Sus scrofa: one gene and its partners. The protein of the gene in region 2 binds, or shares a complex with, the protein of the main gene of each other region. Links are inferred from orthologs where the notes say so. Each region holds a gene or a part of one and is shown on either strand. Other genes may lie near its edges. The genes, in order: KAT2A, YEATS2, KAT14, TADA2A, MBIP, SGF29 and DR1.

What was found.
Region 1: YEATS2 (region 2) and KAT2A share a complex: the UniProt entries of both Homo sapiens proteins name them as parts of the ADA2A-containing complex. The link is inferred for Sus scrofa from reciprocal best matches to the Homo sapiens genes YEATS2 and KAT2A.
Region 3: YEATS2 (region 2) and KAT14 share a complex: the UniProt entries of both Homo sapiens proteins name them as parts of the ADA2A-containing complex. The link is inferred for Sus scrofa from reciprocal best matches to the Homo sapiens genes YEATS2 and KAT14.
Region 4: YEATS2 (region 2) and TADA2A share a complex: the UniProt entries of both Homo sapiens proteins name them as parts of the ADA2A-containing complex. The link is inferred for Sus scrofa from reciprocal best matches to the Homo sapiens genes YEATS2 and TADA2A.
Region 5: YEATS2 (region 2) and MBIP share a complex: the UniProt entries of both Homo sapiens proteins name them as parts of the ADA2A-containing complex. The link is inferred for Sus scrofa from reciprocal best matches to the Homo sapiens genes YEATS2 and MBIP.
Region 6: YEATS2 (region 2) and SGF29 share a complex: the UniProt entries of both Homo sapiens proteins name them as parts of the ADA2A-containing complex. The link is inferred for Sus scrofa from reciprocal best matches to the Homo sapiens genes YEATS2 and SGF29.
Region 7: YEATS2 (region 2) and DR1 share a complex: the UniProt entries of both Homo sapiens proteins name them as parts of the ADA2A-containing complex. The link is inferred for Sus scrofa from reciprocal best matches to the Homo sapiens genes YEATS2 and DR1.

The regions. Positions count from the first base shown.
Region 1 is NC_010454.4:20,637,220-20,641,292, reverse strand, and holds the start of KAT2A (histone acetyltransferase KAT2A), read right to left. Parts: upstream 2,801-4,073; 5' UTR 2,726-2,800; coding exon 2,387-2,725; intron 2,248-2,386; coding exon 2,124-2,247; intron 1,809-2,123; coding exon 1,663-1,808; intron 1,554-1,662; coding exon 1,464-1,553; intron 1,174-1,463; coding exon 992-1,173; intron 910-991; coding exon 718-909; intron 1-717. Other genes in the region: HSPB9 (heat shock protein beta-9), read left to right, coding at 3,849-4,073. UniProt on the Homo sapiens protein: Protein lysine acyltransferase that can act as a acetyltransferase, glutaryltransferase, succinyltransferase or malonyltransferase, depending on the context.
Region 2 is NC_010455.5:121,738,847-121,742,346, forward strand, and holds part of YEATS2 (YEATS domain-containing protein 2), read left to right. Parts: exon of another isoform or gene 1-2,080; coding exon 2,081-2,307; exon of another isoform or gene 2,308-3,119; coding exon 3,120-3,194; exon of another isoform or gene 3,195-3,500. UniProt on the Homo sapiens protein: Chromatin reader component of the ATAC complex, a complex with histone acetyltransferase activity on histones H3 and H4. YEATS2 specifically recognizes and binds histone H3 crotonylated at 'Lys-27' (H3K27cr).
Region 3 is NC_010459.5:26,498,457-26,501,956, forward strand, and holds part of KAT14 (cysteine-rich protein 2-binding protein), read left to right. Parts: intron 1-336; coding exon 337-753; intron 754-868; coding exon 869-1,437; intron 1,438-3,500. UniProt on the Homo sapiens protein: Component of the ATAC complex, a complex with histone acetyltransferase activity on histones H3 and H4. May function as a scaffold for the ATAC complex to promote ATAC complex stability. Has also weak histone acetyltransferase activity toward histone H4.
Region 4 is NC_010454.4:38,920,156-38,923,655, reverse strand, and holds part of TADA2A (transcriptional adapter 2-alpha), read right to left. Parts: intron 2,439-3,500; coding exon 2,306-2,438; intron 1,599-2,305; coding exon 1,555-1,598; intron 1-1,554. UniProt on the Homo sapiens protein: Component of the ATAC complex, a complex with histone acetyltransferase activity on histones H3 and H4. Required for the function of some acidic activation domains, which activate transcription from a distant site. Binds double-stranded DNA.
Region 5 is NC_010449.5:63,662,223-63,665,722, forward strand, and holds part of MBIP (MAP3K12-binding inhibitory protein 1), read left to right. Parts: intron 1-807; coding exon 808-927; intron 928-2,638; coding exon 2,639-2,863; intron 2,864-2,956; coding exon 2,957-3,053; intron 3,054-3,500. UniProt on the Homo sapiens protein: Inhibits the MAP3K12 activity to induce the activation of the JNK/SAPK pathway. Component of the ATAC complex, a complex with histone acetyltransferase activity on histones H3 and H4.
Region 6 is NC_010445.4:18,385,131-18,389,235, forward strand, and holds the start of SGF29 (SAGA-associated factor 29), read right to left. Parts: upstream 2,801-4,105; 5' UTR 2,500-2,800; intron 1-2,499. UniProt on the Homo sapiens protein: Chromatin reader component of some histone acetyltransferase (HAT) SAGA-type complexes like the TFTC-HAT, ATAC or STAGA complexes.
Region 7 is NC_010446.5:123,833,076-123,837,204, reverse strand, and holds the start of DR1 (protein Dr1), read left to right. Parts: upstream 1-1,329; 5' UTR 1,330-2,099; coding exon 2,100-2,319; intron 2,320-4,129. UniProt on the Homo sapiens protein: The association of the DR1/DRAP1 heterodimer with TBP results in a functional repression of both activated and basal transcription of class II genes.

The DNA of each region.
Region 1 (4,073 bases), on a different chromosome or scaffold from region 2:
TCTTGAACTGGGTAGCTGCGAGCCAGGTTTAAAATCAAAGGAAGGGAGTTCCTGCCGTGGCTCAGTGGTTAATGAACCCGACTAGTACCCATGAGGACACAGGTTCAATCCCTGGCCCCGCTCAGTGGATTAAGGATCCAGTGTTGCCGTGAGCTGTGGTGCAGGTCGCAGACGCGGCTGGGATCTAGCGTTGCTGTGGCCATGGTGTAGGCCAGTAGCTGCAGACCCCTAGCCTGGGAATTTCCATGTGCCTTGGGTTCGGCCCTAAAAAGACAAAAATAAATACATGAGATCAAGTAAGATAGAATAAAATGAAGGGAAGGTGTGGCAGAAGAGTAAATCTCCCAGGAAGGACTAGTGCAGGGTGGAAGTCGGTTTCACAGGTGTAAGTTCTGGTTTCTTAGAGTGCTGTGGTGAGGATTCTGAGCTGCATCCATGCCCCATGGGAAACAATTAGTCACGTCCATCGGGAGGTGGGTGGGGACAGTATCAGCACCTGGGCCATGCACCTGCCATCCCCAGACCAAGACGTGAAAGGGGAAATAGCTAGCGAGTGGCATCTGGGCCGTGGGTAAGTCGTCAGCCAGAGGCCCAGATCCCAGAAGGCTCATGGAGAGAAAAGAGAGACCAACCCAGGAAGTCTTCCTGGAAAAAGCGGGGGCCACAGGGAGGATGCGAACACGGTGCAAGATCCTGATAGGCCAGAACAAACCTTACTTGGGGAAGTGGGTGAGGATGAGGGTCCTCTTCTCAGGCACCAGCTTGTCCTTCTCCACCCGGAACTTCTCCAGCAGCTGTCGCCGGGTGACGGTGAAGATGGAGCGGAGAAGGCTTCGCCCAAAGACGTGAGTGGTCTCGTACCGGGGGAGGCTGTCGCAGCTCTGGGGCACATGGCAGTAACAGAGCCATCTGTGGTGGTGGTGGGGAGTGGGTTGCTGAGTGAGAGCAGACACCTACAAGCCTCCCCTGCGCCGTCCCTGGCTGGACCTACCTGGTATAATTGACCTTGTAGGTAGCCACGTCCTCGGCCTGAGACCTCTGCCGGAATTGGGCGGGCGTCTCAAGCTTCCAGTAGTTAAGGCAGAGCAGGAACATCTTCGAGAGCTCAAACATCGTCTGCCGCTCCCGGGGAGCCAGGTGACTAAACTTGTACTGCACAAAGTTCAGCACACCCTGAGGAGGTGGGGGCGAGCGGGGGACAAAACAGGGGAGGAGGCGTGAGCCACTGGCAGGGACTTCTGATCCAGAAGTAGGGGGGTGCTTCCTGAGGGCAGAGCGCAAGGCTCTCTGGGGCTCCGGCTCTGGAGGGCCTTCTCTGAGAAATCACACCTCCTCCCACCTTCACACCCACCCTGAAGTTAGCGCAAGGCCTCTTCCTTTCTCTGAACCTGTCCCCTGTCCCCAGCTTGGCTCCCCACTCCTCCATTATACCTCCAACCATCTTACCACCTTCCTTGTCCCACCTGCTCGATATTAGGCTTCTCAAAAGGGGGGCTGCCCAGGGATCCCTCCACCACGGGCCGGGTCATCTGCAGGATGCACTTCCGCAGGAGCTGGAGGAAGAGGAAGAGGGAGGAGTAGAAGTCAGCGGAGCACAGAAAGGCAGACCCCCCCCACCCTCCCTCCTCTGCCCACTCACACTCTTCCTTCAAGGAAGCTCACCTTGAAGAGGTAGAAATAGACCTGCTTGGTGTCCGTGTCCTCCTCCTTATGAACAGACATGAACAGATTCTCCACATCTACCACCATCCCCAGCAGCCGGTTAATCTCATCCTCTGACACATTCTCCAGGTGGGACACGTGGTCAGCTGTAAGGACAAGTGGTGGTTGTGGAAAACTGATAGAAGGGATCGACAGGGCTTCCTGCTCCTCTTCACCACCAGCCAAGACGCATCCTCAGTCCCTCCGACCAGGGTGACCGGCAATGAGACTGCGGGCTCCTGTGTCAGCCCTGGGTGGTCTCTCTTCTGGACTGAGAGATCTCCTTTCTCCTCCCAACCCAATGCCTCCTCAGGAAGCATCTCGGATCTCTCAAAGATGAAGTTGTGTGGCACTTAAGTCATCCTGTCCAAGCAGGACCCAAGACCTCCACCCCCACCCCAGTTCCAAGGGTACTGCCTTACCCAAGGGGTGCTCACAGCTACGGCACAGCTCGCTCAGGTTGGCAGCTGGCTGCTGCAGGTCCATGCGGGGTGCAGTGGGGGGCTTGGGGTTTTTCCAGCCATTGCACTTGCAGGTTTCATTGGCCTGGAGACAGAAGGATCCGTCAATAACCCTGTAACCCCGGGACGAGAAGCGCTCCCCAATCAGAGCTTTGCCCCCTTGCCCACCCGAGCCCTGGGATGCCCCAAGCCCCGCCCCCTCTCGCCCCAGGCCCCGCCCCCACCTTGCAAGCCGAGAAGACCCCTAGCTTCTCAAGCTTCTTGGCGCGCGGCAGCCCCCGGACTTGCGCTTTCCTCTGGCTGGCGCGCTGCTGCTGGCTCAGGCCAGGGCGAGCCGGATCACCCCCGCTCCCGGTACCCCCACTTCCTACCCCGGGCCCCCCAGTCCCTGTGCTCCCGGCTGGGGCTGCAGCTGGGGCGGGGGCTGGTGCCGGAGTGGGAGCCGGAGTCGGGGCCGAAGCAGGGCTGAGAGCAGGAGTCGGAGTTGGGGCGGGGGCTGGGGACTGAAGGGGACGCGGCTGAGCGGCTGGGGCCGGGGTCGAGGCCTGGGAAGGTTCCGCCATGGCCTCCCCCGCTGCGGAGCGCGGCGCGGCGCGGCGCTCCCAGCCCTAGGGCCGCATGGGCAACCGGCGTTCGGTGCGCAGGCGTCGCTACCTTGGAGCATGATGGGAGTTGTAGTCTTTTCACAGCCGCTCTTCGCCTCCAGCTTCCAGACTTTTCTGTCCTCTTTCTTAAATCCGGGACAGCCAAGTGAGGCCCTACCTAGCACCCCAGATGGACTCCTCTAAACTTGTAATCTCTACGGAAGGCTTCCAAGATAGTCTAGATTGCTGTCCTGGTGGGAACAGGGAGAAGCATCCCACAAAGCAGGCTTCTCCGGGGTCTCGCCTCCCAAGCCCGGGAGAGAAGGTGTAGACCTGGAGGGCCTAGAGTCGCTTCGGCTTCTTGCCTCGCTCCCTCCCGTCCCCACACTGACCCTGTCCCGCGTACCTCCGGACGCGGACCTGCAGCTGGGGTGGCGATTAAATAGCAACAATACTATTTCTTGACCTGTGGAGGGGTTACACGAGTGTGTGTTCTCTTTGTGCATTTTTCTGTTTTACTTCAACAAAAAAAGGCTTATCATAAAAGCACTGAGGGCCAGAATAATGGCTGTGGCCCCTCAAAAAACTGCAGAGGTGGGGATGAGGTAGAGGCAGAGGAGGGCCTATGGGTGTGGCTCTCCTCTCACACCGTGGGCACTGGTGCCAGAGCCCAGCTCTGCGCCTGCCACCAGTAGGCCCAGGGTCAGATGAATGAAGGAAACCAGGAAGGTGCGTCCACCTTCCAAACCCTATGTGTCGCAGGATTGTGCATGGTCAGAGATCGGAAGGACATTCCTAGAATGGATGACCCTGTAGTCACACTCTGATGCTCTGTTCAGAGGGCAGGCCCCGCTTGCCCCCAGGCCGGATTCTCGCAAGGGCATGAGCCGGGCGGCTCAATCTCATCTCTGCTCGTGCTGCTGACGGCTCCAGGGTGGGGCTCACAGGCCGCCGGCCTCTTTTGGCCTATCCGTTTGGGTCACAGCCCCGGCAGGCCAGGGCCCTCTGACGGAGTTGGGGAAGGGCCCGAGCAAGGGGCAGGATCCGGGATAAAAGCAGCCGCGGAGGCGTCAGAGCGGTTGCCAACCTGACTCGTGGAGCTATGTGCATAGCTGATCCCAAATTCCGCGGAAGCGAAACTTGCCGGAAGCCAGGGGAGCCCCCTCAACAGAGCAGGCGCCGCGGGAGCGGGAGTGCAGCCGTTCCGGCCCGAGGCCCCCGCTCCCGGGGGCCCCCACGCCCTAGCCGAGCGCTACATTCGGAGCCTCGCGCTCTTCACCAGCAGTTGCTCTCTCGGATGCAGCGGGTCAGTAGCGGTCTCCCCAAC
Region 2 (3,500 bases):
TGTTACACGCACTCATCTCTCAGCCTCCACAGTTCTTGGGCCTCATCAGCCCCAGCAGTTTTCAAGTGCTCTGTCCTTCAGCTGAAGTGAAGGGACCCGAGGACTCCAGGAGCTGCCTTGGAAAACAGGAGCCTTTGCTAACCTCTGGCCGTGTGTCCCACCTGCCCCCCAGGACACCCCCTACAGAATTACTTGTGCCCAAGTGTCCCAAGTGCTGTGTCCCGGCCAGGCATGTTCCAGCCCATGGCATGCACCAGACACACACCTTTCGTTCAGGAGCTCCCCCTCCTCAGCATCATTTCTCCTTGGAAGACTTTCCTGACCACTTCCTTTCCTCCAGGTAGAAGTAACTTCTTCCTTTGTGACCTTATATTCACCCCCCACATAGACAAGTCTTTGCAGCCTCCTTAAAGATGGAGATGAGGTCTTATCTGTTACTTTCTCTCCAAAACCTAGCTAGGAAGTGTTGGAGGCACAGGTGTGAACAGCTAATAATGTTGCAGATAAAAAGCTTTTTTTTTAGGGCCTCACTCTTGACATATAGAAGTTCCCAGGGTAGAGGGTTGAATGGGAGCTGCAGCTGCCAGCCTATACCACAGTCATAGCCATGCCAGATCCGAGCCATGTCTGTAACCTACACCACAACTCGCAGCAACACTGGATCGTTAACCCACTGAGTGAGGCCAGGGGTCAAACACACATTCTCATGGATACTGGTCAGGTTGGTTTCCCCTGAGCCACAATGGGAACTCCCTGTTGCAGATAAAATGAATTGTTTTATGATAAAGATACAAATAACAGAGCTCTAAGTGGGCAGGTGTCAAGGGGGAGCTATGCATAAAACAAACATGGGGAGAATATTTTGAGTTTCATCTTAAAGAATAAGAAGGGTTGTTTTCTCTTCTCAACCCCATTTCTACAGAAAAACAGGTGCTCCATTCCCCCCGTCTGAGAGAACTAGAAACACAGGGGGGCCTTTAAGACTTAAGTCCCATTTTCTCCATGAAACTTTTCTGAGAACCCAAAGGCAAGGCGACCTCTCTTTTCTCTTATCTGCAGTGACATCTAATGTCAGAACCTTAAGGGTTTGTCAGACTTACATATCTAAGCTCTTTGGCAAGCAGAGACCATGTCCGTACTTCTGTGCTTCACCGGTAGTATACGCAGAACCGGCCCAGGGCTTCTGTTACTGTGGCTGATTAACCTGTGAGTGCCCGGCCTACAGTAGCACAGGATGCCAGGAGCTGGATGCTCTGCCATCACCCTGCGGGGTGCCCTTAACCCCCTCGTGTAGCTGCTCTGGACCTCTTGTTACTTAGCCATAAAGTGAAAGGGGTGCCCTAGAAGATTCCCAGAGCCCCTCCAGGCTTTACAGTTCTTTTTTTTTTTTTTTTTTTTTTTTTTTTTTGGCTTTTTTAGGGCCACACCCATGGCATATGGAGGTTCCCAGACTAAGGGTTGAATCAGAGCTACAGCTGCTGGTCCACACCGCAGCCACAGCTACACCAGATGCTTGACCCACTGAGGGATCACACCCACATCCTGGTGGATACTGGTTGGATTTATTTCCGCTGAGCCACGATGAGAGCTCCCCTGGCTTTACAGTTATAATACTCTTCGTTGGGCTTTGTATAAATCAGCTTATTAAAGATTGGATGCATGGTATACACTAAAATGTTAATAGTACTTATCTCTGAGCAGTGAGAAGAGGGGTGCCTTATAATTTCTCCATTATGCATTTTAAATTGTTCAGATTTAAAATTTGAAAAAAAAAAAATCCGTGGGGTGGGAAGATGACCTCATTTTTGGTGGCGTAAGTCAGAATTGTGTGCTGCTTTGACTTAGGTTGCCCTTAACATCATCACATCTACCTTTACACAAGATGCCTGTCTTGCTGCTTGTCTGCCTTATGACTTCTTAGTTCTCATAATTATAGATCCGTAGAATTTCAGAACTGGAAAGAAGGTCAGCTTCCTTGATACCCTTCTTCTTTGGCTCTCAGGCTGTTGGTCTTTTGGGGAGGGGAAGTCCCTCTCTTTTGTCACCACAGCTGCCATAAGACTGATCACCTCTCATTTAGAGTGCCCATCATCATTCTCCTCTGCTGACAACCTCTGCCGGAAACTGGAAGACCTGCAGCAGTTTCAGAAGAGCGAGCCGGAGAATGAGGAGGAAGTGGACATCCTCAGCCTCTCGGAGCCACTAAAGATAAACATCAAAAAGGAACAGGAAGAGAAACAGGAAGAAATGAAATTCTACCTGCCACCAACGCCAGGCTCTGAATTTATTGGTGACATCACACAGAAGGTAGGGGGTTGAGGCCTGTGCTGCTGGATCCCTCACCAGGTTTGGCCTTAGAACCGACAGCAGACGTTCTGCTGAAGTCTGTGTGGTCTCCTTCTGCCAGTAAACCCAGGCTCTGCTCTGAGCACCTGCCTTCCCACATCAGGGCCCTGAGGCAAGAACACGAATTACATTGTAGATGTTGCTCCTTGAACGTGGAATCGAAGCAAAGGCAGCTAGATACAGGCAGTTTTTTACTTTTCATCTTGTCTCTCGTTTGCCTCAGTAGAAGCATCTGTCCCTCATGAGGTGTGTCATAATGAGCTTTCCCTGACATTGCTAAAGCCCAGGTGCCCTGCCTGGGTGTGGATGTGGCACCCACTGCCCTTACAGGACAGCAGAGAATTACCAGCCCACCCCTGAGGGAACTCGGCTGTGCCTCAGTGTTTGCTTACACTTACAAGAGCAAATGAAAAACGGGGCAGTTTCCAATAATCCCTTCACCACCTTTTGCAAGTAGGGCCTCAGAGTCCGATTCCAGGCTTTACAATGTGTTGACCCCCACCATCAGAATTCATGGCAAATCCTTTATTCTCCCAGCAAGGAGATCTGGGGAGTAAGAGCAGGATTATGATAGCATTTTTAACAATCCCTCAGAAACATGGAGTGACAGAACAGCAAATGGCTCCAGTTGCTATATTCTGTGTTTCTTCTCCATGAGTTTTATCTAGAATGTTTGGAGGGTTATTCTTCCACCCAGATATCCTTGCATATCAGAGGATGTGCTTGTTTTTAATGTAGAAGTAGGAACAAATGGCTTCCTTCTGCTCTTCCAGATTGGAATCACCTTGCAGCCTGTGGCACTTCACAGGAATGTGTATGCGTCGGTGGTGGAGGACATGATTTTAAAGGTGGGTGCCTATGGGCAGCGGAGGGGCTGTGAACTGCCCCAGGGGCTGAAGCAGTGAGGGGCCGGCCGGGCAGGACAGTTTGGATCTCAGGCTACCTTGAGTAAGGGACAAGGACAGAAGTAGAAGATGACAGGCTTTAAGATTCTTTTTTTCCCTGTTTTTTAGGGCCGCACCTGTGGCATGTGGAAGTTCCCACACTAGGGATTGAATCAGAGCTGTAGTTGCCAGCCACAGCCACAGCAACTCAGGATCTGAGCGTGTCTGTGACTGAAACCACAGTTCATGGCAACACCGGAACCTTAACCC
Region 3 (3,500 bases), on a different chromosome or scaffold from region 2:
AAATTTTTAATGAGCTTTAAAGAATTTTAAACAGGCGTTCTTGTAGTGGCTCAGCAGAAGGGAATCTAACCAGTATCCATGAGGCTGCAGGTTCGATCCCTGGCCTCACTCAGTGGGTTAGGGATCTGGCTTTGCTGAGAGCTGTGGTGTAGGTTACAGATGCAGCTTAGATCCTTTGTGGCTGTGGCTGTGGTATAGACTGGCAGCTGTAGCTCCAGTTCGACCCCTGGCCTGGGAACTTCCATAAGCTGCAGGTTCAGCCCTAAAAAGCAAAAAAAAAAAAAAAAAAAAAAAGAGAAAGAAAAAAAAAATAGATATTTTATTCTTTTCTTGCAGCCTCAAAACCAACTTTAGATCCCATCATTACTGTTGAGGGACTTAGGAAACGGGCAAGTCGGAATCCTGTGGAATCTGCCATGGAATTGAAAGAGAAAAGGTCTCGGACTCAGGAAGCAAAGGACATCAGAAGAGCCCAGAAGGAGGCGGCTGGCTTTCTGGACCGGAGCACCTCATCCACCCCCGTAAAATTTGTAAGCCGAGGCCGCAGGCCAGATATGATCCTGGAAAAAGGAGAAGTGATCGACTTTTCTTCCCTGAGCTCCTCCGACCGCACCCCACTGACAAGCCCATCTCCTTCTCCGTCTCTGGATTTCTCTGCCCCTGGGACCCCCGCCTCCCACTCAGCCACACCCAGCCTGCTGTCAGAAGCTGATCTGATTCCAGATGTGATGCCGCCACAAGCCTTGTTTCACGGTAAGACCAACGGTTCTCAGGTTCTGTGTTGTGTGTGGGCCTCCATGTCAGTGGGTCCGCTCCCCCTCGTGGGTGGTGGGCCTGCATTTTCCCTCCTCTTTTCTGTTGCACACAGATGATGATGAGCTGGAAGGCGACGGCGTCATAGACCCTGGGATGGAGTACGTCCCGCCCCCTGCCTGCTCTTCCGCCTCAGGGACAGGGGTCGGGGGCAGAAAGAAGGTCAGGGCCCCTGAGCAGATAAAGCAGGAGGTGGAAAGTGAGGAGGAGAAGCCCGACAGGATGGACATTGATAGTGAAGACACAGACTCCAACACATCCCTGCAAACGAGGGCTCGAGAGAAGAGGAAGCAGGCGCTGGAGAAGGACCGTAAGCCCAAAGGGCCCAAGTTCACCCCTGTGAGCATCTACGAGGAGAAGCTGCTCCTCAAGCGCCTGGAAGCCTGTCCTGGTGCCGTGGCCATGACCCCAGAGGCCCGGCGGCTGAAGCGGAAGCTGATCGTCAGGCAGGCAAAGCGGGACCGAGGGTTACCGCTCTTTGACTTGGATCAGGTTGTCAATGCGGCGCTTCTCTTAGTGGATGGGATTTATGGGGCCAAAGATGGAGGAGTTTCCAGGCTTCCAGCTGGACAAGCCACATACAGGACAACCTGTCAGGACTTCAGAATCCTTGACCGGTACCAGGTGAGTTTTGGCCACACTCCCTGACTCCTGGGGCTGCTGCTCCATGGAGCACGTGCAGGAATGCAGGACAGAGCAAGAGAGAGAAATACAGAAATGACTGGGTTTGGGAGTTCCCTGGTGGCCTTGAGGTTAGGGATCTGGTATTGTCACTGCTATGGCAAGCAACTTCCACATGCTGAGGGTGTGGCCAAAAAAAAAAAAAAATGGCTGGACAGTATTTTTTTTTTAATTGTCCAATGTCCCTTAGTATATCTGAGTTTGGTTCTTTTGTCTTCCTTTTGGGGATTTTGGACAGAACCTAGACTCTGTATCTTTTAGCTGCTGAGGGTGGCTGTACATGGCGCTGATTGACAGGTTTGTTAGGACAGTGCACTAGACACAGCTGAGCATTAGTGAAGGAGTGTGGACATCTGTGTCATCGGGAGACACCCTAAGAAAACAGTAGCCAGGGTCAGCATGGCTGGAAGACCTCGGTGGAACCCTGTCTGTGCTCTCGGGAACAGTGCTTATTACTAACCAGTTAATCAGATTAACTTGTTTTGCTAATATGATGGCTGAAAATGAAATCTTGTTTTTTATTCATGTTTCTTTGGTTACAGGTGAAGTTAAACATTTTCCCTGTTTCCTGGTTGTCTGAGAATTGCTTATTTTGATTATTTCACGTTTTCCTATCTTCTTTGGGAACTAGTTGGATCTGGTCTCATTGCCTGTCTTTATTGCCAGTGTTCTGATGCTGTTCAGTGATGTACTGTGTGGGGCTTTTCTTTTCTGCTGCTGGGCTTTGGTATATGGCTCTTTCCATATGAAACGCTCCTTCTTGAGTTCCAGAATTTCCTAGCTTCTCTTTGCTCTGCTCCGTCTGTTAGGAGCACCCCTCTCATTTGGATGTTGGACCCTGGGGTTGGCAAGCCTTTTCTGCAGAGGGTCAGATAGTAAGCAGTTTTGGCTTTGCAGGCCAGCACTGCCATATGGTATGAAATCAGCATAGATGGTAACAGTGAGTGGGTGTGGTTCTAACACAGGTTGGATTTTTTTTTAATTTATTTTTTTATTACTCACCGAGTTTATTACATTTATAGTTGTACAATAATCATCACAATCCAATTTTATAGGCTTTCCAACACACAACCCCAGTGCATCCCCCACCCCCCGAACTATCTCCTTTGGAAAGCATAAGTTTTTCAAAGTCTGTGAGTCAGTATCTGTTCTGCAAAGAAGTTCAGATTCCACATGTCAATGAAAGCATTTGATGTTGGTGTCTCATTGTATGACTGACTTCACCTAGCATGATAATTTCTATGGCCATCCATGTTGCTAAAGATGCCGGTATTTCGTTCCTTTTAATGGCTGAGTAATATTCCGTTGTGTATATGTACCACACCTTCTTGATTCACTCTTCTGTCGATGGACATTTAGGTTGTTTCCGTGTCTTGGCTATTGAAAATAGTGCTACCATGAACATCGGAGTACATGTGTCTTTGTGAGTCATGGTTTTCTCTGGATAGATGCCCAGGAGTGGGATTGCTGGATCAAATGGTAGTTCTATTTTTAGTTTTCTGAGCAATCTCCATACTGTTTTCCACAGTGGTTGCACCAATTTACAATCCCACCAACATTTTAGCAGGGTTCCTTTGTCTCCACACCCTCTGCAGCACTTATTGGTTATAGACTTTTTGATGATGGCCGTTCTGGCTGGTATAAGGTGGTACCTCATAGTGGTTTTGATTTGCATTTCTGTAATCATGAGTGATGTTGAACATCTTTTCATGTGTTTTTTGGCCATCCGTATGTCTTCTTTGGAGAACTGTCTGTTTAGATCTTCTGCCCATCTTTGGATGGGGTTATTTGTTTTTTTGGTGTGGAGCTGCAGAAGGTGTTTATAAATTTTGGAGATTAATCCCTTGTCAGTCGATTCATTTGCAAAGATTTTCTCCCATGCTGTGGGTGTCTTTTTGTGTTGTTTAGGGTTTCCTTTGCTGTGCAGGAACTTTTAAGTTTGATTAGGTCCCATTTGTTTATTTTTGTTTTTACTGTCATGATTCTAAGAGGTGCATCTGAGAAGA
Region 4 (3,500 bases), on a different chromosome or scaffold from region 2:
GCTGCTCTGCTATGGAACAGGCTTCCCTGTCACATCCACAGAGGGGATGAGTGCCTTACCCTAAAGCCTCAGAAAGGAAGCCCACAGTCATTCCGTGCCTCACCCAAGTGACCAGAGGCTGGGTTAGATCAGGGATCCAGGCTGCCTACTCTGCGTTGCCTTGGGATCAAACAGAGTATGAAGGGAAGCAAGGGATCTCCCAGCTTAATGCAGGGACCAAGGAAAGCTAACACCCGCCCAGGAAGTACAAAGAGTGAGGGTGACTGGTTCAAAAAACACAAATGCCAAAGGTGCACGGTCATGTTTGCTCATTTTTCTTTTGTCTTTTTAGGGCCTTGTCTGTGGCACATGGAGGTTCCTAGGCTAGGGGCCGAATCGGAGCTGTAGCTGCTGGCGTACACCACAGCCACAGCAACACAGGATCTGAGCCGCATCTGCGACCTACACCACAGCTCACGGCAATGCCGGATCCTCAACCCACTGAGCAAGGTCAGGGATTGAACTTGCGTCCTCATGGATGCTAGTCAGATTTGTTTCCATTGAGCCATGACAGAAACATCCCTTCTTCATTCATTTTAATTAGCCAATATTAAATTATCTGTATTTCTGTATTTAGACTGAGGGGAGGGGTGGATGTAAGAAACATATAAAATAAAACTTGGATTTAACTGTTTTGGTTATTCCCTAAAAGACTCTCTTTTAATTACTTGAAACAAAAGGGTAAAAAAAAAAAAAAAAAAAAAAAATCCCTAAAGTGGCCTTTTCTGAGCCCTGTCTAGATCCTGAATCTGAGAGATTTTGAATGGGATCACAAGGTCTGTTGTTCCAACCTTTCAAAAAATGGTAAAACTACAAGTGGGTCAACTTCTGACAAGGGCAGTCTGTCCTCAGTGGAGTGGTCGGCATGTTCAGACTGGGGGACATGGCTAATCTACTATTTGGGGCAGGGGTGAACGATAACCATGAAAACGGGCAGAGAAATAGCACAATCTTGGACCAGAGCTCTACAACTAACACCCCCTTAAACTACCATCCACTGATTACCAGGCACCAAGGATTATCAGACAGCATTTGGCTTAATCCTGCTCTGTACACTAACCTCAAAATAGGACATACCCCAAGAGGTAAAGATAAGAAATACCTTAAGTTTCCAACTTATAAAGAAAATCTTTCTTTTCTGGCAAGTAGCCTGCCCCTTTGCTCACATAAGACAGAGCCTTTAATTGATCCCCTGTGAGACAAATGTCAAAATCTGTGGCAGACAGAACCACAGTAACTAACTGCCCACGAACAATGATAAAATAGAGAAAACACCTGTCTGGAGTTCTTTCTTTCCCTGTCTTTGCAGTCCAAACCTGAGGAAAGGCCCTGTTTGACAATGAAGATTCTAAAATCTTGCTGACGTTCATAAACCAGGATACCACACTTAATCCCCACTCCTCTGCCCAAGCAGCTGGCAGCTCCCACAAAAGCAGAAGGGATTGCTGGGTCACCCTAATTCCCTAGAATGAAAACTTCACAATCAAGGCTTGTTCCAGCCTGAAACATAATTACCTGAATTCGAAGCCATTGGAACAGAAGGACTCAGGCCAGAATCACTACAATGAAGAAGAGGAATTTAAACTTACGTCACATCAAAGAAAGCAATTTCCAAAAGCCCACATGAGACTGAGTGACATTTATTGGGTCAGTTACTCCGAAGAGAAGTAATGAGACAGACGGCTATGCTCTCCAGGATACCTCAACTGAACTACCCAGGAAAGGAAATCGCTCGGATTTGCCAAGAAGACGACCTCTTGGCCTGGCCCATCACGGAGGCCACTCATGGGGAAGGAACAGAAACATGATTCTCCGATGAAAATCATACCAATAAATATAGAGGGAGAAAGAAGGCATGGGGAGAGAATTTACTAATTAAAAAATTAGTTCCCTTGCGGCCCAGCAAGTTAAGGATCCGGCATTGCCGCACCTGCGGCCCAGGCCGCAAATGCACTGCGGGCGGGTTGGATCCCTGGCCTGGGCGTTTCCACATGTCATGGATGGGGAGGGGAGAATCAAAGCAGCAAAGTGGGATTCTAGGAGGCCAGTTATGTTTCTCAAAACTGTCAGTACCATGCTGTTTCTGAGAACTGCTAATATGTTCTGAATTCTGCTAGCTACCCAATTAGGACTGCTCTGCTCTGTCAATTTACAAGAAGAAGGAGGAAATGCTGAAGATCATTCCAACAACAAAGAAATGTCTGAAAATGCAGGGAAGGCCAAAACATCCAAGGGGCTGCTCCTTCACCCGGCGTTAAGCCCTCACATGTCAGCCTGCCGGCGGAGCCACTGCTGGCAGGCACTGCTGTCCTGGATGTACTGGAGGACTTCGGAGAGCATGGTACGTTTGAGGCGCTCCTCTTCTCGGGTCTTCTTGAGGTGATCATAGGTTCTGGCACCTGGAGGTATGAAAAAAACCACCACCACGGTGACCACAATGACAACGGAGCAGAACTAACTGAAGGGCTTCCTAACTGATCAGCAAAGTCTGTCTTTTTAAAATTTCCTTTGCAAAACTGCTTCCACGATTGTTTTCCTAAGAGCAAAGTGATTTCCCCTAGTTTGAAATCCCTTTTCTGACAAGAAATGAAAATATCTTCCTTTTCTACCTTTAAGGGATTTGGGAGGGGGAGGAAAAAAACCCAAACAGAAAAGCACAAAGAGTTGCTTATATCCCTCAAAAAGTAACTTTTAATATTGTCATCTTTACTTCCTGTTCTGTTTTTTCTATCCATGTATTTTGGCGAGTCACACAAGTGCTATATATGTACCCTTCCTTAAAAACCACTCAGAATTACAAATAAAAGCAAACCCTCATTGACCAGTACTATCCTTCCCCCTCTTTCCCAGAGGCAACCAGTATCAGGTAACCAAAACGTGGTATCAGAGTCTTTATATGCATCTTGCTCAACAGCTGCATAGTGTTTTTCATACATTACAAAGGAACACAGGATCCAAAGGACCACACCAGTGGGTTTTCAACCACGTCCCACAGAGCCCCAGGATCCCGTGAACGTCTCTCAGGGATTACTGGGAAGACCACGAGCACCTCCCCATCCTGGTGGTCCTGGGTTCCACACAGGACCTGAACCATCAGACGTCAACCAAAGCAGTCCCATTTTTATCTTATTTACGGATGGGACCTCCACATAAAATTTCATTTTATAAACAGCTTCCATCATTAAAAATAAAGAGCCACTATAGGAGGCCAAACTTACACCCATAGGACCACTTCTTGTGGGCAGCGGGTGACAACTGTCAATTTACAAGAAGAAGGAGGAAATGCTGAAGATCATTCCAACAACAACAAAACAACAGAAACTGCCATTTATGGAGGCTTTACTGTGTGCCAGGTACTGTGCTATGTTTCCATGCATTATCTCTAATCTTCCTATTAACTGCAAGAGACTTGGAAACTGAACGAACAGAATTACAGATGTGGCGAACAGAGTTATAGCTCT
Region 5 (3,500 bases), on a different chromosome or scaffold from region 2:
TCTTGGTAGTTTTCTGTATATAATTTTATTCTCACAGACATAGCCAATTTATAAGAAATTTTCGTGTAATAAGCCCTCACACTGTACAAGTTAGCAGTAAGTCAGGCCTTTCCATCCAGTCTCTGGCCATTTATTTCATTATTATGGATAACTATTAGTTTTTCAGTTTCAGATTTCCACTGCTTAGTAGTAGTTTAATTTTTATTTGAAGTAGATAAACACTTTGTCACTTATCCCTAGACTTTATAATATGTATGAGAAAAAACTTGATTTTTAAATTATTTTAAAAATTTGTTAAAATTGAAAACAAAGTGCGATTCAGAAGATAATCAGAGTAATGATGTATTTCAGTTATGTATTTATGTGCATAGTTAACAATAACAAATGTGCATATCAGAACTTTCAGAAACGTACCTGCCCCCTGTTTAATGCTCTGGCTGGAAGCAGGAGGATTCTGAAAAGGGGCAGCCTATCTTGGCCCCTGTCCAAAGGCTTTGAGATATTGAAGTATCAAAAAGCCTCATCTTTTCATCTTTCACAAATTGTTTTACCTGTAAGATGGTCACATTACACAGACCCACGAATAGAATCGGAGTGAGATGTCAATCTGATTTTTTGGAAAATTGTACTTTTTTTGGCTTTTTAAAGTGGTAACTAGATAGAGCATTTTAATGTATCATTAAAAACTTAAGAACTTTGAGCTGAATAGGTTTGTTAGTCTGTAGAAATCTTGTTTTTCTCTGACAGTCCCTTATGTATACCTTAATCGTGTAATTTTTGTGATGTTGCTGGTTTGCCCCTTTGAAGCTTAACCTCAGAGATGATGTGGTGAAAATTACAATCGATTGGAACAAGCTCCAGAGCCTCTCGGCATTCCAGCCTGCTTTGCTCTTTAGTGCACTTGAGCAACACGTTTTATATTTACAGGTAAATTTCTTGTTAAAAATGTTAACTCGATATTGAGGCTAGAAATTAATTGTAGTTAAATTATAAGCTGGAGTATTTGTCAGTTCTATCTTAACACTATATTGATAGTGTAACTAATAAAAGGTTACTTCAGCCAGATTGGATCCAAGTCTCTTAATTTACATCGTGATAGGACAGTTAGAGGAATACAGCCCAGTAGACTGATGTGGGTATGAAGACTGAGTGAATGCAATTCTATTCAATTCTAGACTTGCTGAAAATTCAATACAGTTGCATCTATGGTGGGTTATAATTAAGCAATAAGACACGGCAGGTGTGTGTCATGCTATGATAATGATTCCATGCCTTGGGTGAGTTTGGAGGCTCATGGAGTGCTTTCAGTGGTTGAAGAAGTGGCATTATCCCAGCATGACACATCCTGGAGTGTCTATTGCAATTAAACAGTTTCAGCATAGTTTTTAAAAAGAAAGTAATTTCTGTGACATTAATGTCTCATATTAGTGAGTAGCCAGTCAGTATTTTATCTTCTCTTTTTCTTAAGAATTTGAAATAATTCATCCTTTATGTTAAAAGTCAACACTGTATTGTTAATTTATAGTAGTATTGCTATATTTTTTAATATTTCAGTTCAATAATTGAGCAGTATTATGAGCTAACTAGTTTCCAATTGAACATCTCTGCAGTTATGATTGATGTAGGTTTGCAGTTTATCTCTAATCAACGTATAAAATATGAAGTGTCAGGTTTGGATTGGTCATTTTTTTGCTATTGAAATGTTATAAAGTTTCAGAAGAGTATTTGGTATAGCAAACAGGGGAAGCAAAATTGTAGCTATGAAAAAATAATTGGAACATTGACAAGTGTTGGTGTGTTTTGATTAACGGAATAGACATTAATTTTCAGTCCTCTGTTCAAGGGTTTTATGGGAAATCTTAACTGTTTCATATTAAAAGTAATAGTTAACCCTAGTTTTAAAAGGTGGAAACAATGAGCTATAGAACTCAACTGAGGCCTAATTGTTGGGGGGAAATAATTCATGTTATACAACAGGGTTCCCTCCCCCCTCCCCCCAGTGTAGTAATAGGCATCTACCTCTTTTTAGCTATGTTCATTTTTTTCAAAAATTTAATTTCATGACCTAAGAAGATATCTTGCCATGTCAGGAAAAGCCTGAGTGTTCACTCAGCATAACACCTATATATTTCATGTCTATGCTCTCTCATTCACTTTGGCCAACTGCAGTTTCAAGTGGAGAATCTCCAGTGATATAGTGATAATGCAGGGCTTTGCTGAGTGAGAGCACTGGCTCTCATGTTAAGGAGGAAAAATACTAAGCCTTAGTGTTCTGAGGAGGCATTTGAATGACATGTTAATTAAGTGGCATTGGTGCCACAGGCTGAGGCTTTGATTTGGCACAAAATAAAAGATGAGTGACAGAATGATTCTTTCAAAGAAAATTTTAAATATCCTCAGTTTTCTTTCTTTTCTTTCCTTTTTTAAAAAAACAGATTTATAGCAAATGATACTGGTCACAGTAGAGAACAACGGCACTTATATGCGGTCAGATCTATGTATGATATGCCAACCTTTTATATTTAGTTAATTGAAATTAAATATTGCCTTTACTTGCAGAAATTTATATAAATATGGTAAATGTATAATTAATTTTGATCAGTTTGAACCTCAGCAGATGGAATTGTGTTCTTCTCAGCCTTTTTTAGCAAAACTTCAGCCTCTAATTAAAGAGGAGAATACAGCTGTTGTTGAAGAGATAGGAAAAACAGAAACAGGGAACAAGAATGAAGTAAATGCCAAATTTCCCATTGGTGACCTACAAGAGGAAGAAAAGCAAAAAGATTGTGATTTAGGAGATATGAAAAAGACACAGATCCATTTTGATCCAGAAGTCGTTCAAATAAAAGCTGGAAAAGCAGAAGTAAGAAGTTGGGTTTGGGGGAGGGGGTGGGGGGAGGTTTTTTTTTTTAACTCATTATGTTTGAATTAAGACATGCATACTTATTGTTTGTAGATTGACAGACGAATATCTGCGTTTATTGAAAGAAAGCAAGCTGAAATCAATGAAAACAACGTCAGGGAATTTTGCAATGTTATTGATTGTAATCAAGGTAACTATCTAGAAGTTAATTTTCGCAGGATTTTAATGATCTTTCATTTGTTCTCAATGAATAATATTAAGGACACGGTTTAATTTATTTCACAGGTTTATTTGGAAACTAAAGCAGCAGAATTTCCTTCTGTTTAATAATAGACTATATTGCAGACTTTGTTGCAAAATGGTTTTCCTCTTGGTTATGCAAAAGTCAAATAAATGCTAACATTAAAAGGCTCGTATTTACCACAGGTGAAAAAATTGTTTTAAAGTTCCTTCCAGAAATGAAGTGTGGGTGGCAAGGCTAGTCAGTCTCACTAGTAGCAAGGACCTAAGCTGTATTAATTTCAAGTCTGTAAAGGTTTTAGGAAATTATGATGTTAATACATGAAGTAAACTTAGTAAAGTTAATACTCCTCAAGAGGGAGCAATTTTCTTACTACTCCTTAGCTGTTTGAAATGT
Region 6 (4,105 bases), on a different chromosome or scaffold from region 2:
CCAGAAAGTTAATCTCTAAAACTATGGATGCTAATAGACCTACCCACTGAGAACAGGGTGCCTTGTGGTGGGGGAGGTATTCATAAAAACGGACACTGAGGTGTACAAAACACTCTCAAGGCACTGCTTCAGATCCTGAATGGCACCTCTCAAACAGCCTTCTCTACTGACCTTACCCTACGATACCCATATTGAAATACTCAGGGCCCCTGCCTCAAACAAGCAGACCTGTATGTTTCAGTTATGTCTGCCCTTCGATCCTTCTCCATTTTTGCCTCTGGATCTCTCAAATTTACTCATTTTTTCAGGGCCCAAATCAAATGGCAGCAAAATTCACACTTTTTCAGCACTACCTGCCAAGCTTTTCCACACCAGGGCACACAGAGAACACGACAGTATTTGTATGGCATACTACGGTACAAGGACAAAGCTGCTCCTAGCCAGAAACAACTGGCAGGGAGATGTGGCTGTCTCAGGCCCCTCTAATCTGCCCTGATGCCATGGGCAATCAGAACTTCCAGAAACTTCTAAAGCACCGGACACAAACATCTGTTCCTGCATTTGTCACACATGCACCCAGAGACTACCATATTGTTTGTCTCTCCTGCCACACCAAGATCTCTGAAAAGAGAGAGATGCACTTTTATTCATCTTTATATTCCCAGCAATTAGCACAGGGCCTGGCACCTACTAAGTCCTCAAAAGCAAGTGCAGAACTGAACTGAATCCTGGAAATTTTTTTTTTTTTAACACCATACTTGTAACCTGCAGAGGGATCCAACCTGAGCCACGGCAATGACAGTACCAGTTCCTTAAATACTAGGCCACCAGGGTACTCCCTGGAGGCCTCCTAAAACGGTCTTTGAACTTAGAAACACTGCAACAGTTCTGAAGCTGGACTGTTCAGTATCTTCTCCCTGATCCTGGAAAACAAATCAGTTCCTGTTAACATGCTCTGAAGAGAGACTGTCTGAGTTCCCAGTGGGTTAAGAATCGGACTACAGGGAGCTCCCTTTGTGGCTCAGTGGCAACACAAGACTAGTATCCATGAGCACTCAGGTTTGATCCCTAGCCTTGCTCAATGGGTTAAGGATCTGGCATTGCCATGGGCTGTGGCATAGGCTGGCACCTGAAATTGCAATTTGATCCCTAGTCCAGGAACTTTCATATGACACACCTGCTGCCCTAAAAAGCAAATAAATAAACAATAATCTGACTGCAGCAGCTCAGGTTGCTGCCAAGGTGCTGGTTCTATCTCCAGCCCAGAGCCATGAGTTAAAAGATCCTGTTTAGCTGGCAGTTGCAGCTCAGATTTGATCCCTGGCCTGGGAACTTAGGAATGCTGTGGGTGTGGCCACATAAACAAGTATATAAACAGATAAACATGTACTGACTGATGGAGAAAGAGGACAGAGGGGAAGCAAAAGACATCTAGTATAACTCAAGGTGTTTGAAAAATTGGAAAACTGAAGAAGGTGAATGGTAAAACTCAAAATTTCAGGTAGAGCAATGAGTTGAGGACAAGAATTTGAGAGTTAAACACAAGAGATGGTATTTAGGAGCTCCCGCCGTAGCTCAGTGGTTAACAAAACCGACTAGGAACCATGAAATTGCCGGTTCAGTCCCTGCCCTTGCTCAGTGGGTGAAGGATCCGGCGTTGCCGTGAGCTGTGGTGTAGGTCGAAGACGCGGCTCGGATCCCACGTTTGCTGTGGCTCTGGCGTAGACCGGTGGCTACAGCTCTGATTAGACCGCTAGCCTGGGAACCTCCATATGCCACGGGAGCGGCCCAAGAAATGGCAAAAAGACAAAAAAAAAAAAAAAAGAGAGAGTATTTAAAGCCTAGGAAACAGCACAGAAAAGAGATCAAAGATGAGGCTGTGGGGCAGTACAACCAACCACTGAGGGTAAGTTAGAGCAAGAATCAGCAGAGGAGAAACCAGAAAGAGCTGAAGCTGAAGACGAGAATGTTCCGCATAGCAAATGAAGCACGCATTTCCATTTCAGTGGAGGGGTGAGAGCCAAGGCCTTACTGGAGTGTGTTTGAAGGAGAAAAGGGGCTAATGAGTAGAGAATGAAGTTTTGGCTGCAGTGAAATAGAAAGCACCTGGAGGAATATGAAGAATGAGGTTGTTAAACTAAGCACACCTTCAGCAAATAATGAAAGCTGCCAAAGTGCGGGCCCCATCCTCTGCCCTTGTTCTCTCGCACCTGGGGTGCGTACCCACCCCTCCCAGCCACGGAGCCAAGCTCCACGTGCAGCGGCTTCCCACCCTCTTCCAGCCGGCGAGCGCAGGCGCAGTCAGTTACCAGAGAAGGTCGGCGCCAGCCCTCCCTCCCAGCGCCCCGCCTCTCCCGGTCCAGGGCGCGTGCGCACTGCCTCTCAAGAGCTGCCTCAGCGACGCCCGAGAACAGGGACCCCCCGGCCCTCCGCTCCCGCCATTCTCCGAGCGGGGGTGCGGGGAGCCAAGCAGTGCCTCAGACCACGACGTATACCCACCTACAGAACCACGGGTGGAATAAGCAAGTCGCGCTGGAAACTGCGACGGCGGGAGCAGGCGCGTCTTCCCTCGAATGCCTTTCAGAGTCTGCGGATAACAACGCGCTCACGTTCGAAGATTCGCGGCGGCTCAAGAACCACGCACGCTTTTTCCCTTTTATGAGCAGCGCGAGACCCTCTCTACGCGTGCGCTGTCTTCCTCTCTACGCGTGCGCTCTCTTCCCGTGCCGCGCTGCTCCTTGGGAAATGTAGTTTTTACTTGGACACAGAGTTTCCGCCTCTTCAGCTGAACCTTGTTTTAACCAACCAGAGCGTGTTTTCAGTATCCACTCCTATTACCAAAACCTCGATGAAACAATAAAAAAATTTTTAAACGAGCAGATTGTTGATTGAAGGGGGAGCAGTGGGCATATGAGAACTCTGTACTTGTTCCTTCAATTTTGCTGGAAAGCTAAAACTGCTTCAAAAATTAAAGTTCATTTAAAAAATGTTAAAAATAAATAGAAATAAGCAGATCTGTAAACCCAGATATCATTCTTTTAGAGAGTATTGTCAGGAACATATTGTCATTGTGAGCAAATGTTTAACCACAACGGTTTACATCCTAGTATCTTGTAATCTCTTACATAACCCATACCAAATTTTACGTTTGTTTGGTACACTTGCCTGCTCAGGGAGGTTAGGATCCACTGTTTTATTCACCTATATACACCCATAGTGGCTGGTATATAATAAGCGTTCTATTTTTTAAAATTCATATTAGAGTCTTAGACTTCAACACAAACCATTTCAGCCCAAAACTTAATGCAACATTTTTTACCATCAAACTTACTCTTCTTTCTGTGGTCTCTCAGTAAGTTGCATGACCATCTACCCAGTCTCAGTTCTATATCCTGCGTTTTATGGGGTTTACAGAAGCAAGGAGTTCGCATTTTCGTGTTTATTGAAGTCTCAGGAGTTCCCGTAGTGGCGCAGCTGAAATTAATCTGACTAGCATCTGTGAAGACACAGGTTTGATCCCTGGCCTTGCTCAGTGGGTTAAGGGTCAGGCATTGCCATGAGCTGTGGTGTAGCGGCTCTGATCCTGTGTTGCTGTGGCTGTGGTGTAGGTCAGCAGCTGTAGCTCCAATTGGACCCCTAGCCTGGGAACATCCATGTGCCGCGGGAGAAGCCATAAAATAAAATTTTTTAAAAAAATGAAGTCTCAGAAGCTATTTCTCCTGAATGGCAAATGTCAATTTTATTTTCTCCTCAAGGGAGATTTGGGGCTCGTTTTGGGGCGGGGGTGTCTGTGCCATGGCATGTGGAAGTTTCCCAGCCAGGGATCCAACCTGCACCACAGCTGTAACCTGAGGCATAGCAGTGACAACACTGGATCCTTAACCCACTGAACAAGAGGGAACTCCTGGGGCTCAATTTTTTTGTTTGTTTGAATTTATCTTTAATTTCTGAAGTTTCCTGCAATAACTATGTATCAGTTAACATGTATCACTGGATTAATCTTTTTTCTTTTTCTTTCTTTCTTTTTTTTTTTTTTTTTTTTTTTTTTGCTATTTAGGGCTGCACCCACGGCATGTGGAAATTCCCAGGCTAGGGGTCAAATCAG
Region 7 (4,129 bases), on a different chromosome or scaffold from region 2:
CTGCAAGTGTACTGGCGAAAATGCTAAATGAAAAATTTTTTTAAAAATGTAATTAAGGTCTCCTAAAGTGCTACACCTAGGATCATACACCAAAAGGTTTTAAGAAAACATTTCAAACAAGCCAGTTGCTGTCCAATCTAAGAACAATTTAGCTGATTAACTAAAGTGCCCAAACTCATGTAAACGGTATCTGGTTTGCCTTTTAGAAATTGCACCTCCCTATTTATAATATAGTCTGCTTCTTCAAAATGACAGTATGGCAAACTTAGCTTTTAGAAATAATGCAATTTTTCTTTTTTTTTTTTTTTTTTTGGTCTTTTTGTTGTTGTTGCTATTTCTTGGGCCGCTCCCGCGGCATATGGAGGTTCCCAGGCTAGGGGTCGAACCGGAGCTGTAGCCACCGGCCTACGCCAGAGACACAGCAACGCGGGATCCGAGCCGCGTCTGCAACCTACACCACAGCGCACGGCAACGCCAGATCGTTAACCCACTGAGCAAGGGCAGGGACCGAACCCGCAACCTCATGGTTCCTAGTCGGATTCGTTAACCACTGCGCCACGACGGGAACTCCTTTTTTTTTTTTTTTTTTTTTTTTTTGGTCTTTTTGTCTGTTGTTGCTATTTCTTGTGCAATTTTTCTTAAGAACTTGATACACGTTTGCAAAAAAAAAAAAAAAATCAGAGCCCACTCTTTTTCGCTTCATCGAAATCCAAAATGTCTAAATCGGAACCTTCTAATCTGGCTCATTGTAGACTAGGCGTTTCCACTACGATGGATCTTATTTCTAGTTTCCAGTTTAGGTATTAGCAGTGACCGCGAGGGAAAGTCACTTTTCTGAATGTTTCCCATAAAACCAGAAAATGGGTGGGGCGCCCGAGTTTCCACCCGAATAACGTCTATGAGGTACTATCCAAAGCGTCTTCCTGTGGACGATACAGACACACCGGGTTCTACTTCCCCCATACTGCACGGCCGAGCCCAGGCCTCCTTCCTCTTCCTTTCAATCTCAATTCGGGCGCTTTAGGATGAGCAACTAGAATTCTTTAAACGAAATCCAGCGCCCCTTTGTCTGCAAACTTGGCTAGGAATGGGTTCCGAGCCTCAGCGGGTTGAGAGGGCAGAGGCGGCTTTCCATCTTCGCCAGTCCACGCAGCCACCCCGGCCCGCGTCCGACGCCTGCCGGGGCGCTCCGGTACCGCGGGGCGCGCGCCCGGCCGCTACGGCCCCGGGAAGGGGCGGGACCCCAAGGCGCGTGCCGGGACCACGGAAAGCGGAAGCAGCTGGCGGGGAGGACGGGCGGTTCCCGCCGGCGCGGGTGGGGGAAGGGCTGCAGCCACACCCGGAAGTCGGGCTGGAGGGGGGGAAAACGTGTGGGGGCGAGACTTCCGGTAGCGCAAAGGGTATCGGGAGAGACTTCCAGCAAACCTTCTTCTGTGGCCTCTGGAGGGACCACCGTTACCGCGTCTTCGGCTTCCACGGTCTGCGTTCGGGCTGAACGGCCACAGCGGCCGCCCCTGCCGCTCGCCTGTGCCGGCTCTGTCCGTCTTCGTTCCCCGGCGGCCGCCCGGGTTCCAGCAGCGGCCGCGGCCGACATGTTGTGAGGCGGCGGCGCCGGTGTCTGAAGGATGGTTTGGCCGAGGCAGCGGCAGCGGCTGCTGGCGGCGGCAGCGGGGGCTCCGGCTCTGTAGAGCCCGGCCCGCTGGGTGTCCGCCCGGTACCGCGGCCAGGCCAGTGCCCCTGGACCTTGCCTCTGCTCCGGCGCCGTTGGGGACCGGTTAGGCGACAGCGCACGCCCCTCTGAGGAGGCACGAAGGTGGTTCTCCGGGCTTAGATTTCCGCACCACCTTGCTTTCCCTCGCTGACCTGGGCGGTGCTGTCCCCAGGATCCTCAGCCCCCAACTTTGTTCCCAGCCTCGCCCTGAATCTCACGCACGCGGGTGTTTCTTGCCCTCTTGACCCCCCCTTTATCTCCTGCACCCTATTCTCAGAGCGCCGCCGGGCTCACTCTCCGAGGCGCCCTTTTGAAAGAAGCTTCGTGGAGTGTGGACCAGAGCTGGGGAGTTTTTTACAAGTCGGGGCACGAGAGGTAGGAAGGTACGATGGCCTCCTCATCTGGCAACGACGATGATCTCACTATACCCAGAGCTGCTATTAATAAGATGATCAAAGAGACTCTGCCCAATGTCCGGGTGGCCAACGATGCCCGGGAGCTGGTGGTGAACTGCTGCACTGAATTCATTCACCTTGTATCTTCTGAAGCCAATGAGATTTGCAACAAATCGGAAAAGAAGACCATCTCGCCAGAGCACGTCATACAAGGTAAGTGGTCTCTGTGGGCTTTTGCTGCCGAAGAGGGGCCGGCCGGGGACGGCGTGCTCGTGGGCGACGCCGTCATGTCCCAGCCCTCAGGCTGGTCCTGGTGGCTTAGTGCTGGTCGCTGACAAGGCCCCGCGGGCGTGGGGGCAGCCGGCGCCTTCACATCCCCGTGGCGGGTTCTCGCCCTTTTCAAGCAGCGGATGGTGGAAGAGCTGCCCAGCGGCGGGGCCAGCTGGCGTGCCCCCGGCTCGAGCGGGAGGGGTGCTCTCAGTTTACAGCCGGGCCAGCCGAAGCGGCAGGAGTTTTGCCTGCCTGCGGTGGAACCCGGACGTGAGGAGCGAGAAGGAGCCTGCGGAAGGGGGACCGAGGGCGTGACAACGGAGAGGAACCCAGAAGCTGTCCCGCGGAGGCTCTGAATGCAGACGGGACCTTCATCCCCACCCGAGCCCTGCCCCAGGGTGGAGGGAAAGACGCGTGTTGAGAACGCGGGGAGAGTGGGAGGAACGTGGATGTTGAGCGCTGCGCGGTGGATTAGGGTTGGATGGAGAGAGTGTCTGTGTTCTCTGCTTTGAAAATGGTCCTGCCGGCCAGCAACAAGTTGCCAGAGCTCTCAAGTTCTATTCTGTAAGAAAAGGCACCCTTTCCTCTCCCTCCTCTCCTTTCCTTCTCTTTCCTTCCTTCCTTCCCTCCCTCCTTCCTTCCTTTTTCTTCTGCAACTTGCTTTGCTTTGTGGCGGTAGCTTTTCCAAGCTTGGATGGAAAGATTGTGAGGTTTTTTTTCGCGGGACATTCCGCTGCCCTTTCCTGCCGTCCTCCCCACTTGGATGTACACACGCAACCTTTTCTTGAGCAGCGCTTCTGGAAGTGTAACAGTTTCTTCTTTCTTCTCTTGGAAAGGATTTAGTTCAGTAATAGAGTTGGGGAACTGTATTCTGATGGTTCGTTTCAAAAATGAAGAGACATTCACTAATTATGTTTTAGGAATTACTTTCTGTGACTTGTACATGTATTCTTATGAAAAGACTGCATTCAATTTGAAGTGAGACTTTACCTTTTATAATAGTCTAATTAAAATTTTTAACAATTTCTTGATTGCTTTTGAAGTAAAAAATCACGGTTAATTTTGGTAGGCAGGTGGTTGTCTACCATTTTATTTTTATAATTCAACTTTTTGAATTATATACAGTTTTATATAAAACTCAACTTTTATATAAAATTCAACTTTTTTTATAATTCGATTTTTTAAAAGGTGACTTTCTTGTTATTCTGAAGTAGAGGACACATCTCATACTTAACCATATGTAGTATTTCACTGTCAATATTGACAAAAGGATTAAATGAGTCACTTTTGATCCTTAATGATGTGTGGAAAGTAGGTTTAAAACATACTCTGCCGTTTCCATTTCAGTACTTCCTTATGGAGGAAGGAAATCCCTAGGGAAAAGTTTATTTGATTTTAAAGCTAGAATATTCTTCTACTTGTTTGGTGTACTCTGGCAAGTAAAATGAAAGCAAAAGTTGTCTGTTTTTCCTCTTGTGTTTTATTTTTACATTGTATGTGCAATTGTTGGCACAAGTCTTTCACAAGATTATTCAACACAGATAGCTATAATTTCGTTTTACAGCTTATAAAAGAGAAAAAGGATCTTTGATCAACATTGCCTTTCCAATGAAAATTGCAAAAGATTTCAGAAGGATCTGCCTAAACACTTGTTTACACCACAGACGTGGTGATCATTCCAAAAATCTAATAACACATCACGATCTGTCTTCTTGGGTAGAGTTTATTCTTTTCTAGGATATATTTAGATATC